3 linked regions of the Cricetulus griseus genome follow. The protein of the gene in region 3 purifies or fractionates together with the protein of the main gene of each other region. This does not show direct contact. Links are inferred from orthologs where the notes say so. Each region holds a gene or a part of one and is shown on either strand. Other genes may lie near its edges.

Region 1 (4,251 bases), on a different chromosome or scaffold from region 3:
CTCGTGCCTGCCAGAAGCTCACAGGGTTCCTTATCCTACAGGCAGCAGAGCCTGGGCTCAGAGCAGGTCCTCTGACCTGGGGAGAAGACCCTAGGACTGCTGGGACCTGGAGCCCCACTGAGGAGTGACAGACGAACAGAGCCTTCTGCAAACCTGCCCAGGGTTCTCTATTGCTGGCCCCTTGCTGTTTAGGGCTGTCCATGCAGACTATCCTGGGCTCTCCTATAAACTTCTCACCTCAATCTCTACCATCAGCTGTGGCCAGGGTTTGAGACCAGTCTTGGTTCTTAGTTCAGTCATGATGTATGCTAGCGCTGCTGACATTGCAGCCCTGGGCTGTGGGTTAGAAAATACTATGTCCTCTGGGGATGGGAGTCCCTCCAAAGCAGGGCCTGGGCTCTCTCACCAGGAGCTCTGTCCCTCCCCAGACTCTACCTGGCACTGTCTGAGATGAAGGTTTATTTTAGCTCAAGGTTATGCACTTAAACTGTGGCCCTGGGATAGAGTCCACCCTCTGGCAGCACTTTGTGACTTTTGGGTCAGGATTGGACACTCAGGGAAAGGTCTCTGTCTGGGGAGTCACCTTGTGTGTCTGTTCTCCAGGAACTTGGAAATGATTTCCTTGTTGAGAGTTTGCTCCAGATGCTGCATCTTGCCTTCATCAGGCAGGATGAAGATGGCAGTGGCGTTGCCCAAGTAATCCATCAGCAGCACCCAGCTGGACAGAGTGCTGCAATGGTGCACATCAAACATGCCCAGGCGCTTCATCATGGGCACCTTCACCGTGGTGCTCTGGTCCACGTGGAAGTCAGCTTCCTCAGTGTTCTCTGCCCTGAAGGGCTTCTTCCACTTGCCTGCAGTGTATGGGAAGTAGGAAGTAGGAAGAGGGCTCAGCCAGGGAAGTGGTGACCCAGGGCCTTGACTTTTCACAGGGGACCACTACTAGACTTCAAAATGCCCAGGGACTTTGATGAGGGTAACTTGGGACTAAAGGACTCACACTTTACAGATCACAGAAGCTCACAGCTACCATCCCCATTGTCTAGAAAGCATTTCACCTGTTAGATGTGTTACATGCTTACTGAAAGGTGACCTGGGGTTATAAGTGGAAATCTTGACAGCAATTCTATTTGCTAGCTTCTTATCAGGGTGGCATGCTCATTGGTAAGTGTGAGTTCAGTTGTCACTCAGGACACCTCAAGTCCCTTTCTACATCTATGGGTTCAGTGTAGATGGCCATTTCAAGTGTAAGAACACCATCAAGGTCATTGGAGTGGGTAGGGGTCTCGGGGACCCATCACCAATGCTGGCAGAGTAGGCAAGGCCCTCAGGGATCCACCATAATGGCCCTCAGAAGGAGCATGGAATCAGGAGCCCTAACCCTGCCTTATTATTGGATAGGAAGAGGTTGGGGAGGAGTTAACATCTGCCCTTGTCACAGAAGAGCCAGGACTTGAGCTATGCTGACCATGGCCTGATATTCTGCTCCATAAGACTCTGCTTAGAGGCAAAGGAGCCACGAAGGGCAGAGAAGCTCCTGACTTTGACTCCCAGACCCTCCTCAGATGTTTTCTCTGGGGTACAGGTGCTTAGCATAGAATCCTGACCTAACCACTTCCAGGCAGGAGGCTGTGGCTAGGGTCAAGGAGAGTTGATCAAGTGCTTACATCCAAACCGTCCCTGTGTATACTGTATTTACTAATTCTTTCATCACCTCACAGCAGTTGGCTAGCTTTGTCCCTGGCCATATGGACAGCCGTACCCCAAACATGTAAAATGGCTTGTCCAACATCAAGACAGCAGTAGCAAAATTTAAGCCCATGTTTCCAGAGTTCATACTGGTGTGCAGCAAAAGAGCTGCTCAAAATACGTTTCATGGAGCAGGGCTCTCTTCATACCACCAGATACACTTGGTTCTGAGGTTGGGGAAGAATCTCGTGTTCTGAGACTCCTTCGTCGGGGTCTTCAGTGAGCACGAGGACAGTCAGTCCTTCAAAGAGGTCAGTGGATTTGATGGTTGACAATTCCCAAACTTACTGATGATTTAAAATATGACAGAGTGTACCCACTGGAGAGTCAGGGATGTGATGGGACAGAGTGACACAGCCCAGAGTGAGAGCTCAGAAACCATGGATGAGTGTCTCCATGAGAATCAGCTGGAGCTGGTTATGTCATCTTACCTTTAAAGAAAATGTAATTCACCATGGCAAGAACTGTGTCTTTGTCAAGGTCCTTCACTAAGTCAACTATCTTTCCCTGGGTTCCCTTCTCCACAAAAGCATTGATCACTTTCTTGGCCTCTTCCGAGTCTGTGAAATTGAGGGAGAAGGCTTCTGAGTGGTAATTGTTCTTGGCCTCTTCCAGGAACGTCGCCACCAGCTTCAGATTGTCGTGGATGAACAGGCCATTGCCTGTGGTCAGCTGAAGCTCATTGTCTGGCTTGTTGAGGGTCTGGAGGACGTGATGGAAGCCCTTGTGGATCTCACCCTCTGCTATTTGTGTGAGGTTGAACTCCAGGCCTTCTAGAATCTGGGTGTGAGTGGCACCCTTGGTGCCCAGAGAAAGCATAGCGAAGGCTGTAGCAATGCTCACGGGGGAGAAGAAGATGTTGGTCGTATTGGACTCATGGACCAGCTCCCGGTACAGGCTTAAGGCGAAGTCTGCCAGATTTGAAGCGATCTTACAGCAGGCTTGGTGCTCCTGATCCTGCTGGGAGGCATCTGTCTCCTGGGCATCCTCAGCCAGGAAGCTGGGGACCAGGCAGCACAGGCCTACCAGCAGCAAGATCCCCCTTGAGATGGAGGACATCATTCTTCTGCAAGACACAGAAATGCATGTTGCAAGGAATCGAGGCTGTGGTGACTCCCATCAGCTAACATTTGGCACAATACAAAAGCAACCACAGCCTATTAACGGCTGCTGCATGCCCAGCCTATATCAAGCACTATTTCAAATTGCTATAATTGACAAGAGACTGTTAAAAAGAAAACTAGAGGCATTTCTGTAGATAAAGCACTTGTTATGTAAGGGTGAGAATAGGAGTTTGGAAAATGTGGGCAGAGTAGCCATCTGTAATCCAAGCATGGGGGTGGGGGACAGGGCTGGGCAGAGATGGGATCCTTGAGGCTAGCTGGCCGGCTTGTTAACCAGAAGCTCTGAGCTCTTGGATCACTGAGAGCTCAATAAAGTGGAGAGTGGTTGAGGAAACCACCCAACATCAATGTGAGCCCCCCGTATGCACATGCGCACAGCACACTTCCGCACACAGGCTCACACCTCACAGGCATGTGTGAAAACCAAGTGAGGGAGCGAGAGCAGAGGATCAGACTTTTTTCCATCTGCCAGTGCTGTCCTGAGTCCTCCCATGTGTGAACTCCCAGGGTCCTGTAGGGAGATGATCACTCCCCTGGTAAGGGACATGTTGACACACATTCAAAGTCAACAAACAGCAAATAACACAGCAGGTCTAAGTCACACACAAGGAGTGGTCTGGTGCCTGACCAGTACTCTCATCAGTTCAAGTTCCACCAGCAATGACCTCGAACCACAAGCCCCAGCCCCATTTTACAAAGAGGAAACCAAGGCCTGGGGTGAGAAATGGACTTGTCAGTAATGACAAGGGGAGCAGGGGGTGATCTGGACTAACAGTCGCTTGAAGGTGGGGAAATCATGAGCTCCAGAATCCGGGTGCAGCTGTCACCTCTGTTCCCCAGAGAGACCATGTTGAAGGTGTGGTGATTGTCACAGGAGAAGAGATGAATGGGCACACGGGGAAGTCTAAGGCTGTGAAGAAACCCAAGCGGGCTGGAGAGATGGCTCAGCAGGAAAGAGCCCTTGGTGCTCTAGCAGAGGACCTGGGTTCGAGTCCTAGGACCTATATGGCAGATTACAACGTCCCTGTAGCCAGTTTCAGGGTGTCTGGTGCCTTCTTCCGGCCTCCTCAGTCACTGGACACGCATACAGTGTACTTACATACATGCAGGCAGAACACTTCTACATGTAAGATAAAAATCAGTCTATAGAGGAGAAGGAACACACAGACTGTCCCTACTCAGTGCCCACAAGGAACCTCAGTCCCTGGTGGCTTTCCCTGAAAGAGGGACTGTCACCATTCTACCCTGTGATTCCAGCCCCAGGCTGTGTTGGCTCCCCCTCTGGCAGCCCATCTGCCATCTTGACACCACTCCTGTCTCAGTTCTGGAAGAGCAGAAGTTACTGCCTCTGCTTTAATTCTGGGAGAGGATGTGTGTG
Region 2 (4,279 bases), on a different chromosome or scaffold from region 3:
GAAGGTCGTGGAGCCCTCCCCGCCCTCCCCGCCCATGTCAGGAGCACAGGAGCACAGGAGCACATACCCCGAGCCCTCCCCGCCCTCCCCGCCCTCCCCGCCCTCCCTGCCCATGTCAGGAGCACAGGAGCACATACCCCGCGCCCCGCCCATGTCAGGAGCACAGGAGCACATACCTGATGAAGACAGGGCCAGCTGCACACGGAGGAGGAGAGAAACAAAACTCATCACATGGCAGAAAACAGCCGGCACCCTGTGCCCACTGCAGCAGCCGCCCCGGTACTGCGGCTGTTTCTGCCTCCACAGCCTGCGGTCACCGAGGGCATCCTGACAACCGTCCTCCCGACAACCATCCTGCCGACAACCGCTCTCCGACAACCGCTCTCCCAACAACCGTCCTCCTGACAACAGCCCTCCCGACAACAGCCCTCGTCCCCAGGGCCCCAGGCTTCTCCCGTGCAACACATTGTTTCTGCTCCCTCCCTCCCTCTGTCTGCACACACACAGTGACACACACACACACACACTGACACACACACAGTGACACACACAGTGACACACACGCACACACACTGACACACACAGTGACACACACTGACACACACAGTGACACACACACAGTGACACACACACTGACAGACACGCACACACACACAGACACACACACTGACACTCACACACACTGACACACACGCACACACACTGACACACACAGTGACACACAGTGACACACAGTGACACACACACACACACTGACACACACACAGTGACACACACTGACACACAGTGACACACACACAGTGACACACACACTGACAGACACGCACACACACACAGACACACACACTGACACACACACTGACACACACGCACACACACTGACACACACAGTGACACACAGTGACACACACGCGCGCGCACACACACAGACACACACACAGTGTCACACACACACGCACACACACACGCACATACACACACTGACACACACACACTGACACACACACAGTGACACACATGCACATACACACACACACTGACACACACTGACACACACACTGACACACGCACACACACACATGCACATACACACACACACACTGACACACACACAGTGACACACGCGCGCGCACCTCCCTGCCTCAGCCTGTCTATTTTCTGCCTCTTACCCTGATTTCCCAACTCAACAGGGTTCTCTTCAGCCCCCGCTCCGTCCTCCCTTACAGCCCTGCTGCTCCTCCTGTCACATCAGGCGCCAAAGTCCCTCTGTCTGTCTGCCCTTCACAGGGCCTCTGCCCTCCGGCTTCACACCCCTCTCACGTACGCACACACTCTGTCACACAAGCACACAGACACACACACAGTCCCTGTGTCCGGCCGTCCTCTGACGAGGAGCAGCTCCCCTGACCGGAAAGTCTGTCCTGTGTGTTTGTGTCAACCTCGGGCTCGGCCACACCTCAGCGTCCCCGCTCCCACCCCACCCCCTCCCGACACCCTGCTTTCCCCACACCGGGACCCCAGTGCCCACCTCAGGCCTCCCGGGTGTGCGCCTGTGTGGTGTGTGTGAGTGTGTGTCTGTGTGAGCGTGTGTCTGTATGTGTATATATGTGTGTGAGCGTGTCTGTGTGTGTATGTATATGTGTGTCTGTGAGTGTGTGTCTGTGTGTCTTGTGTATGTATGTGTATGTATGTATGTGTACGTGTATGTGTGAGCGTGTCTGTGTGTGTATGTATATATGTGTGTGCGTGTCTGTGTGTATGTATGTGTGTCTGTGTCTGTGTATGTATGTATGTGTGAACGTGTCTGTGTGTACATGTATGTATGTATATATGTGTGTGCGTGTCTGTGTGTATGTGTACATATGTGTATGTGTCTGTGTGTCTGTGTGTATGTATGTATATATGTGTGAGCGTGTCTGTGTGTACGTGTATGTATGTATATATGTGTACGTGTGTGCGTGTCTGTGTCTGTGTGCGTGTCTGTGTGTATGTGTATGTATGTATATAAGTGTGTGCGTGTCTGTGTGTGTATGTATATACGTGTGAGCGTGTCTGTGTGTACGTGTATGTATGTGTGTGCGTGTCTGTGTGTACGTGTATGTATGTATACGTGTGAGCGTGTCTGTGTGTATGTATGTATATAAGTAAGTGTACGTGTGTGCGTGTCTGTGTCTGTGTGCATGTCTGTGTGTACGTGTATGTATGTATATAAGTGTGTGCGTGTGTGTGTATGTATATGTGTGTGCGTGTCTGTGTGTATGTATGTATATAAGTGTGTGCGTGTCTGTGTGTATGTGTGTGTATGTATATGTGTGTGCGTGTCTGTGTCTGTGAGCGTGTCTGTGTCTGTGTGCGTGTCTGTGTGTATGTGTGTATATATGTGTACGTGTGTGCGTGTCTGTGTCTGTGAGCGTGTCTGTGTGTATGTATGTATATATGTGTGTGCGTGTCTGTGTGTATGTATGTATATATGTGTACGTGTGTGCGTGTCTGTGTCTGTGCCCGTGTGTGACGGACGGCTGCCCTCTGCCCTCTGCCCTCTGCCCTCTGCACACCCACCCTCCCTCCCTCCCGCGCTCCGCGCGGCCCTCACCAGTACAGGTGTCCGCACACGCTGACCACAGCCTCGCGAGCGGTCTCCAGACAAATATTACATTCGAAGGTCGCGCCCGCCCCGCCCCGCTCGCGGTTTGGGCCTTCGGGGCCCCCGTCCTCGTCCTCCGCTGCTGCCATGGCCGGTTGTGCTTCGCCCCCACGTCCCCCTCGGCACCCCCAGACACACACACATAGACGCTCACACAGCGCGCACACACACACCCCAGCACGCCAGGCCCGCCTCCTGCCCACGGTCGTTGGGCAGACTTCAAGGCTTTCTCATGACTATTGGTCGAGGCGCCTGCCAATCATGCAGGAGGCAAAGGACGGGATTGAGCTACAGGGCGGAGGCGGGAAAAGGACGTGTGGGTCCCGCCCTCGCACGATGATGATTGGCTGGCGAAGCCTCAGTCACTATGCGGTGCCGAGGGATTGGTAATAATGAGCTCGGCCAGGGAGGTCTTCATTCGTTTACGCAGCTGCCCGTCAAAGCCACAGCTCTGACGGGATTGGCTCGGGCCGGCAGAACTCGCCCACTAGGAGCCGCTCTCTTTCCTTCTCTTCCGCTTTCGAAGAATGTCCGGGTTCCTATTGGACTTCAGAGCGTACGGTTCCAAGTCCGATGATTGGCTGGCACGACGGGGGGCGTGGCTACGGGAAACGAGCATGCGCAGTAGGCGGACGGGGTGGGAGGGCAGGGGCGGCGAGCGCGCCAACCCGGCGAGAGCGGAGTCGCCGGCGGTCCCCCCCCCCCCCCCCCGTTCAACTCCATCCCGTCGCCATGGCAACCGCGCCGCCGCTGGCGGGGGGCCGAGGGTTCGAAGGCCTCGGCTCGGCCTCATCCGGGTCCTCGGACGGGGGCTCCCTCCCGGCTTGATTGGGCGGTTTGCTTCGCCGCTGATTGGCCGAGGCCTGCAGAGGAGCCGGTGCTGAGCTCGGGAGAAGAGGGCGGCGGTAGCGGGGTCGCGGGGTTCAAGATGGCCCCGGGCTCCCTGGGTGACGCAGAGGGCAGCGCTCGGGTCCGCCCCGCCCTCCTCGGCAAGCAGGGAGCAGAGCTGGGGTTCGCCCGGCGAGTGGATGGTGCGGCCGTCGGCGCGCCGCGCTGGTGTTAGCCCGGCTCCCGCGGTTGGACGGCTCGGCCTCTCTAGGTGACCGCCACAGCCGCCCCCGGTGTGATGTGACCCCGGGAGGGCCGGCGCCACCGTCCGAGAGTGGGCGTCCGGGGGCCCGGCCCTCCCCTCGGGTGGCCCGCGGCAGGATGGAGTAGGTCCGCCCCTTCCTTGTCACTTGCCCTGCAGAGTTTTGGATCTTTTTCCTGGCCGCACAGCTCCGAGAGCCGGGGCCCTTCCAACAATCAGTGACCCAAAGTGTGTGGTCCAAGGCGCAGAATTAGGTAACAGTCCTCCCACCACGCCGTGTGGACTCATCCAGGGCAAAGGTGTCCCGGGGCGGGAGACACACACGATAGAAAGCGCCCGTGGCTCCAAACCCCGACAGGTGAGAGCCTGGCGCTCAGCACAGGCTTCGGGGAGCCAGCGGGGTCGGACACACTGACTGAGGTGGGGGGGGCGAGCCTGACACTGATGGAGGCAGAGGGGGCGAGCAAGGGGCGAGCCTGACACTGATGGAGGCAGGGGGGCGAGCCTGACACAGATGGAGGCAGAGGGGGCGAGCAAGGGGCGAG
Region 3 (3,511 bases):
AACTTCCAGGGAACTTCACAAACAAGTACAAAGAAGGTTATACATAAACAGCTGGAAGGCTAACTGAGGTGGGTGAGCACTACAGAATCCCCAGACAAGACGAGTCTAATTCCCGGCAGGGGACTCAAGCAATGTTCAGATCTGTAAAGAGTAGGACATTACAGTAGACAATGGCAAGCTCAGGGAGCACTCATGGGTGCTATTCTAGGAAAAGTATTTAGAACCTAAAAGGAAGTGCAGGAGTGACAAAAAGATAAGAAACGGCAGGATTCCTGCATGTTATCTGTCTTCAAATTTCTCTTCTCTCCCTCTCCCCCTCTCTTCTCCCCCTGCCCCCCCCCACACACACACACAGATCATATCCCTGGGGAGCCTGAGGTTCAGAGGGATTACTGAAGCAATACCAGCAAGGGCTGCTGGAATGGCTAGGAGCAGGATTGGGGGTGGGGGGGCCACATTTGACTATGCTATACTGCTCTGCAGTGACCCCTTCTGGAGGTGTCTGAAGGCACACATTGGAGCTTAGGGGGAATTACTACAAAGACAAAAAACGAGTTTTGCCCCACCTAGTTGAAGTACCTTAAATCGTGTTCCAAACCAAAACGACACAATCACGTCTCTGTTGAGCTGGGCCCAGACGTAGAGCACGGACATGATGAGGGGGATCAGCAGCAGCTGAAAAAGCCAACATGGGAGCCTCTGAGCGCGCCAGGAGCTCGTGCCACCGGCTAGTGTCAGCCGGCAGGCCGGCCACACCGCCCACCCCAAAGGCCAACCACACCGCCCACCCCAAAGGCCGGCCAGCCACACTGCCCACCCCAAAGGCCGGCCGGCCACACTGCCCACCCCAAAGGCCGGCCGGCCACACCGCTCACCCCAAAGGCTGCAGAGGACACTCATTAAAATCACGTTCATACAATGAATCCCATAAAAATATCTATAATCAATAGTTAATGTTCTTACATGAAATCAAAGCCATCGGTGTAAGCTGTAATTGGGGGAGGGGGAGTTTTCCTTTCACATATAATCTGTTTTCAAAGACTACCTAACCTCACACTTACCTAGGGAATACTGCACACCCATTACTCTGAGTGCTCAAGCATAAGTCAGAAATAAACAGAAAAGCCAATGATTTAGATAACGCCTACAAGAGCCTCAGAGGCTAAGTTAACAGCATATTCAAGATAACAATAGTTATCATTTTATACGGTCAATGTAATTAACCTCAACTTCTGAAACACACAGAAGAGCAGAGAGTTGAGACTTACCTGCATATCCATTGCTAAGCCCGTAATCTTGGTTTTAAAGTTAAAGATCATATGTAGAAAGTATTCTATGGATATCAAGGTTGATCTGATTATTTCTCTCCAGTGGAATTTCAGTATACTGTTCCAAAGGAGAACATTTTTCTATCAGTTGGATTACTTACGACCATATGGGAACACACAAAAGTTCTGATAACCAGGCATAAATATCCCACTACCCTGTACAGTCAGCAGAGCAGGAGACACAGACATGAACACCGCAGCACAACTTGGTCCTTTTGGTACCCTGCTACTGTTTTAGCATCTCTCCTACAAGTACAGGGTAGAGATGTCTGTGCATTTGAAACAAATGATGCTGCTCATGCTCAGGGATTTACAGCATGAATAAACCCATAACTTTTTTTTTTTTCTCTTCATTCTCTTAAAGGAGAGCGTGTATCCCTCGCCTTATATTTTTCTGGCTCTTGGCCAACTTTAAATGGCAGTCAAGGCCAACTGTTTGCTTATCAACTGTGTCTCGAAGAGAGATGGACTATGCCCAGAGTAGGGGACCTTATGGAGGTACTAGATTATTATTTAGGACTCAAAAGGCATACAGCAATGAAGTCAGAAAATTAATTTTCTGGTAAGAGCCACAGATTTCAAAAGCTGTCTCATGGCACCGAGTCTCTGTGCTTCAGCTGACAAACTGTCATCCAGAGAACACAGAGAACTGGACTCAAGGAGACAGCAATAAAACTCAATTGAATATGGAAAAATCCCAGAGGCAATGCTAAGAGGAGGCATCTCCAAAACCTACAATTTACCCTAGCTTTAACTACAGTTTTTAAAATGGTATTAAAAGTGATTTAAATGTTTTTATAAAATTCTATTTCCCAAAACGTTAAAAAGGGGGATGGAGGAGCTCATTTCCGGGCCAGAATAGCCCTGAAGGATACCACGATGCAAATCCAGTTAAAGAGGAGCATGAACAAATAGTCTGCTGGCCTCCCGTCAAAAGCTCCTGGAAACAAACACAAGGCAAGCATCAGAGTGCAGAACTGTGGAAAAGAGTAGCATCTAGGGAGAAAATTCTCCCCAAGATCTCATTTAAAACATTTAACATCTCTTCTTTAAAGAAAAGTGAATTTTTTCCAAAGTTTATAGCATGGCAATAAAAGTGAACCACAGGCACATGCTCTACTGACTGACTTCCAGAAAGCTAAACCAGACCCAAGGGGACAGTCATCGGGACACCAGTGAGGCCCTTTCACTTTCCTCATGACCTGCCGGCTTTGCCTTCGTGGCCCTAACATACTCTAGTGAGCACACCTTGATACGAGCTTACTTCCTGTCCTCACTTACAGACCAAAGCTCGTCAAGACCCTTGTCCATTTTGGCTGCCACTGTCATTCCCGCAGCACGACTGTGCTGGAAGTCCGCTATTATGACAGGGACATTAGCTGCTGCTGTTGTCACTACTAACACCAGACAGATGCACTGCCACTTGTCCAACCCAGGGCTGACACTCTGAGCAGATTCAGCCTCTATTACAGGGTCTTACAACCTGGAACAAGGGAAAACAACCAGAAGAGAACGGACGGACAAAGGAATGGCCAGACCTCTCCACAACTGACTTTCTCCACAGGGCATCTGTGAGGTGCAAGGGACAGGTCTATAGCCCCTTACTTCCAAGTGAGAAAATAAAGTCACCCGACTCAAGTCACACACTTGTCGGAAGCATCATTTAGTGCTTTTGTGCCTGCACTGTTGCTAAGAATGCTTCATTCCTAGGGAGAAAACCCAACAGTCAGCTCTCTGGTCTAGGGACAAATCCTCACACCTCAGTCAGGGCACTGGAAAAGAAGCAGAGGAAGATACAAAAATGACCAGAAAGTCACTCCAGCTCAAAAGCTGCCTAAAAGCTACCTTCTCTCCTGCACACTCTACAAGACACAGGCAGTCAAGTTTTCAGGCCCCTAAGACAGGAATCAGAAAGACAGAGGATGGGTCTTAAAGAAAGAGAAAAGAGGGTGACAGGGTTTGCAGTGTACACCTGCTGGAAGCTGAGGACGGCAAGGAGAAGGCCAGCCAGGGCCATATCACACAGCAAGTTCCTGTTCTCAAGACACAAGATGGAAAGGAGGGCAGAGGAAGGAGGGACCATCCTCCGCTCGTCCTCTGCTTTGCCTCCCTCTCGCTCCTACCTCAAAGGCTCAGCAGTAAGGACACTTAGCTCAAGGCTCCCTATAATGAAATACAGGTGA

Evidence for each region.
Region 1: the proteins of derlin-1 (region 3) and Serpina1 purify together in Homo sapiens (affinity purification with western blotting; 4 studies listed by BioGRID). This does not show direct contact. The link is inferred for Cricetulus griseus from reciprocal best matches to the Homo sapiens genes DERL1 and SERPINA1.
Region 2: the proteins of derlin-1 (region 3) and Rnf5 purify together in Homo sapiens (affinity purification with western blotting; 4 studies listed by BioGRID and IntAct, with this or other methods). This does not show direct contact. The link is inferred for Cricetulus griseus from reciprocal best matches to the Homo sapiens genes DERL1 and RNF5.

What each region holds. Positions count from the first base shown.
Region 1 is NC_048598.1:190,875,287-190,879,537, reverse strand, and holds the start of Serpina1 (alpha-1-antitrypsin), read right to left. Parts: upstream 2,812-4,251; coding exon 2,181-2,811; intron 855-2,180; coding exon 584-854; intron 1-583.
Region 2 is NW_023276806.1:231,214,328-231,218,606, forward strand, and holds the start of Rnf5 (E3 ubiquitin-protein ligase RNF5), read right to left. Parts: upstream 2,812-4,279; 5' UTR 2,734-2,811; coding exon 2,594-2,733; intron 196-2,593; coding exon 177-195; intron 1-176. UniProt on the Homo sapiens protein: Membrane-bound E3 ubiquitin-protein ligase that mediates ubiquitination of target proteins. May function together with E2 ubiquitin-conjugating enzymes UBE2D1/UBCH5A and UBE2D2/UBC4.
Region 3 is NC_048603.1:29,780,656-29,784,166, reverse strand, and holds part of derlin-1, read right to left. Parts: intron 2,269-3,511; coding exon 2,204-2,268; intron 1,296-2,203; coding exon 1,269-1,295; intron 676-1,268; coding exon 580-675; intron 1-579. UniProt on the Homo sapiens protein: Functional component of endoplasmic reticulum-associated degradation (ERAD) for misfolded lumenal proteins. Forms homotetramers which encircle a large channel traversing the endoplasmic reticulum (ER) membrane.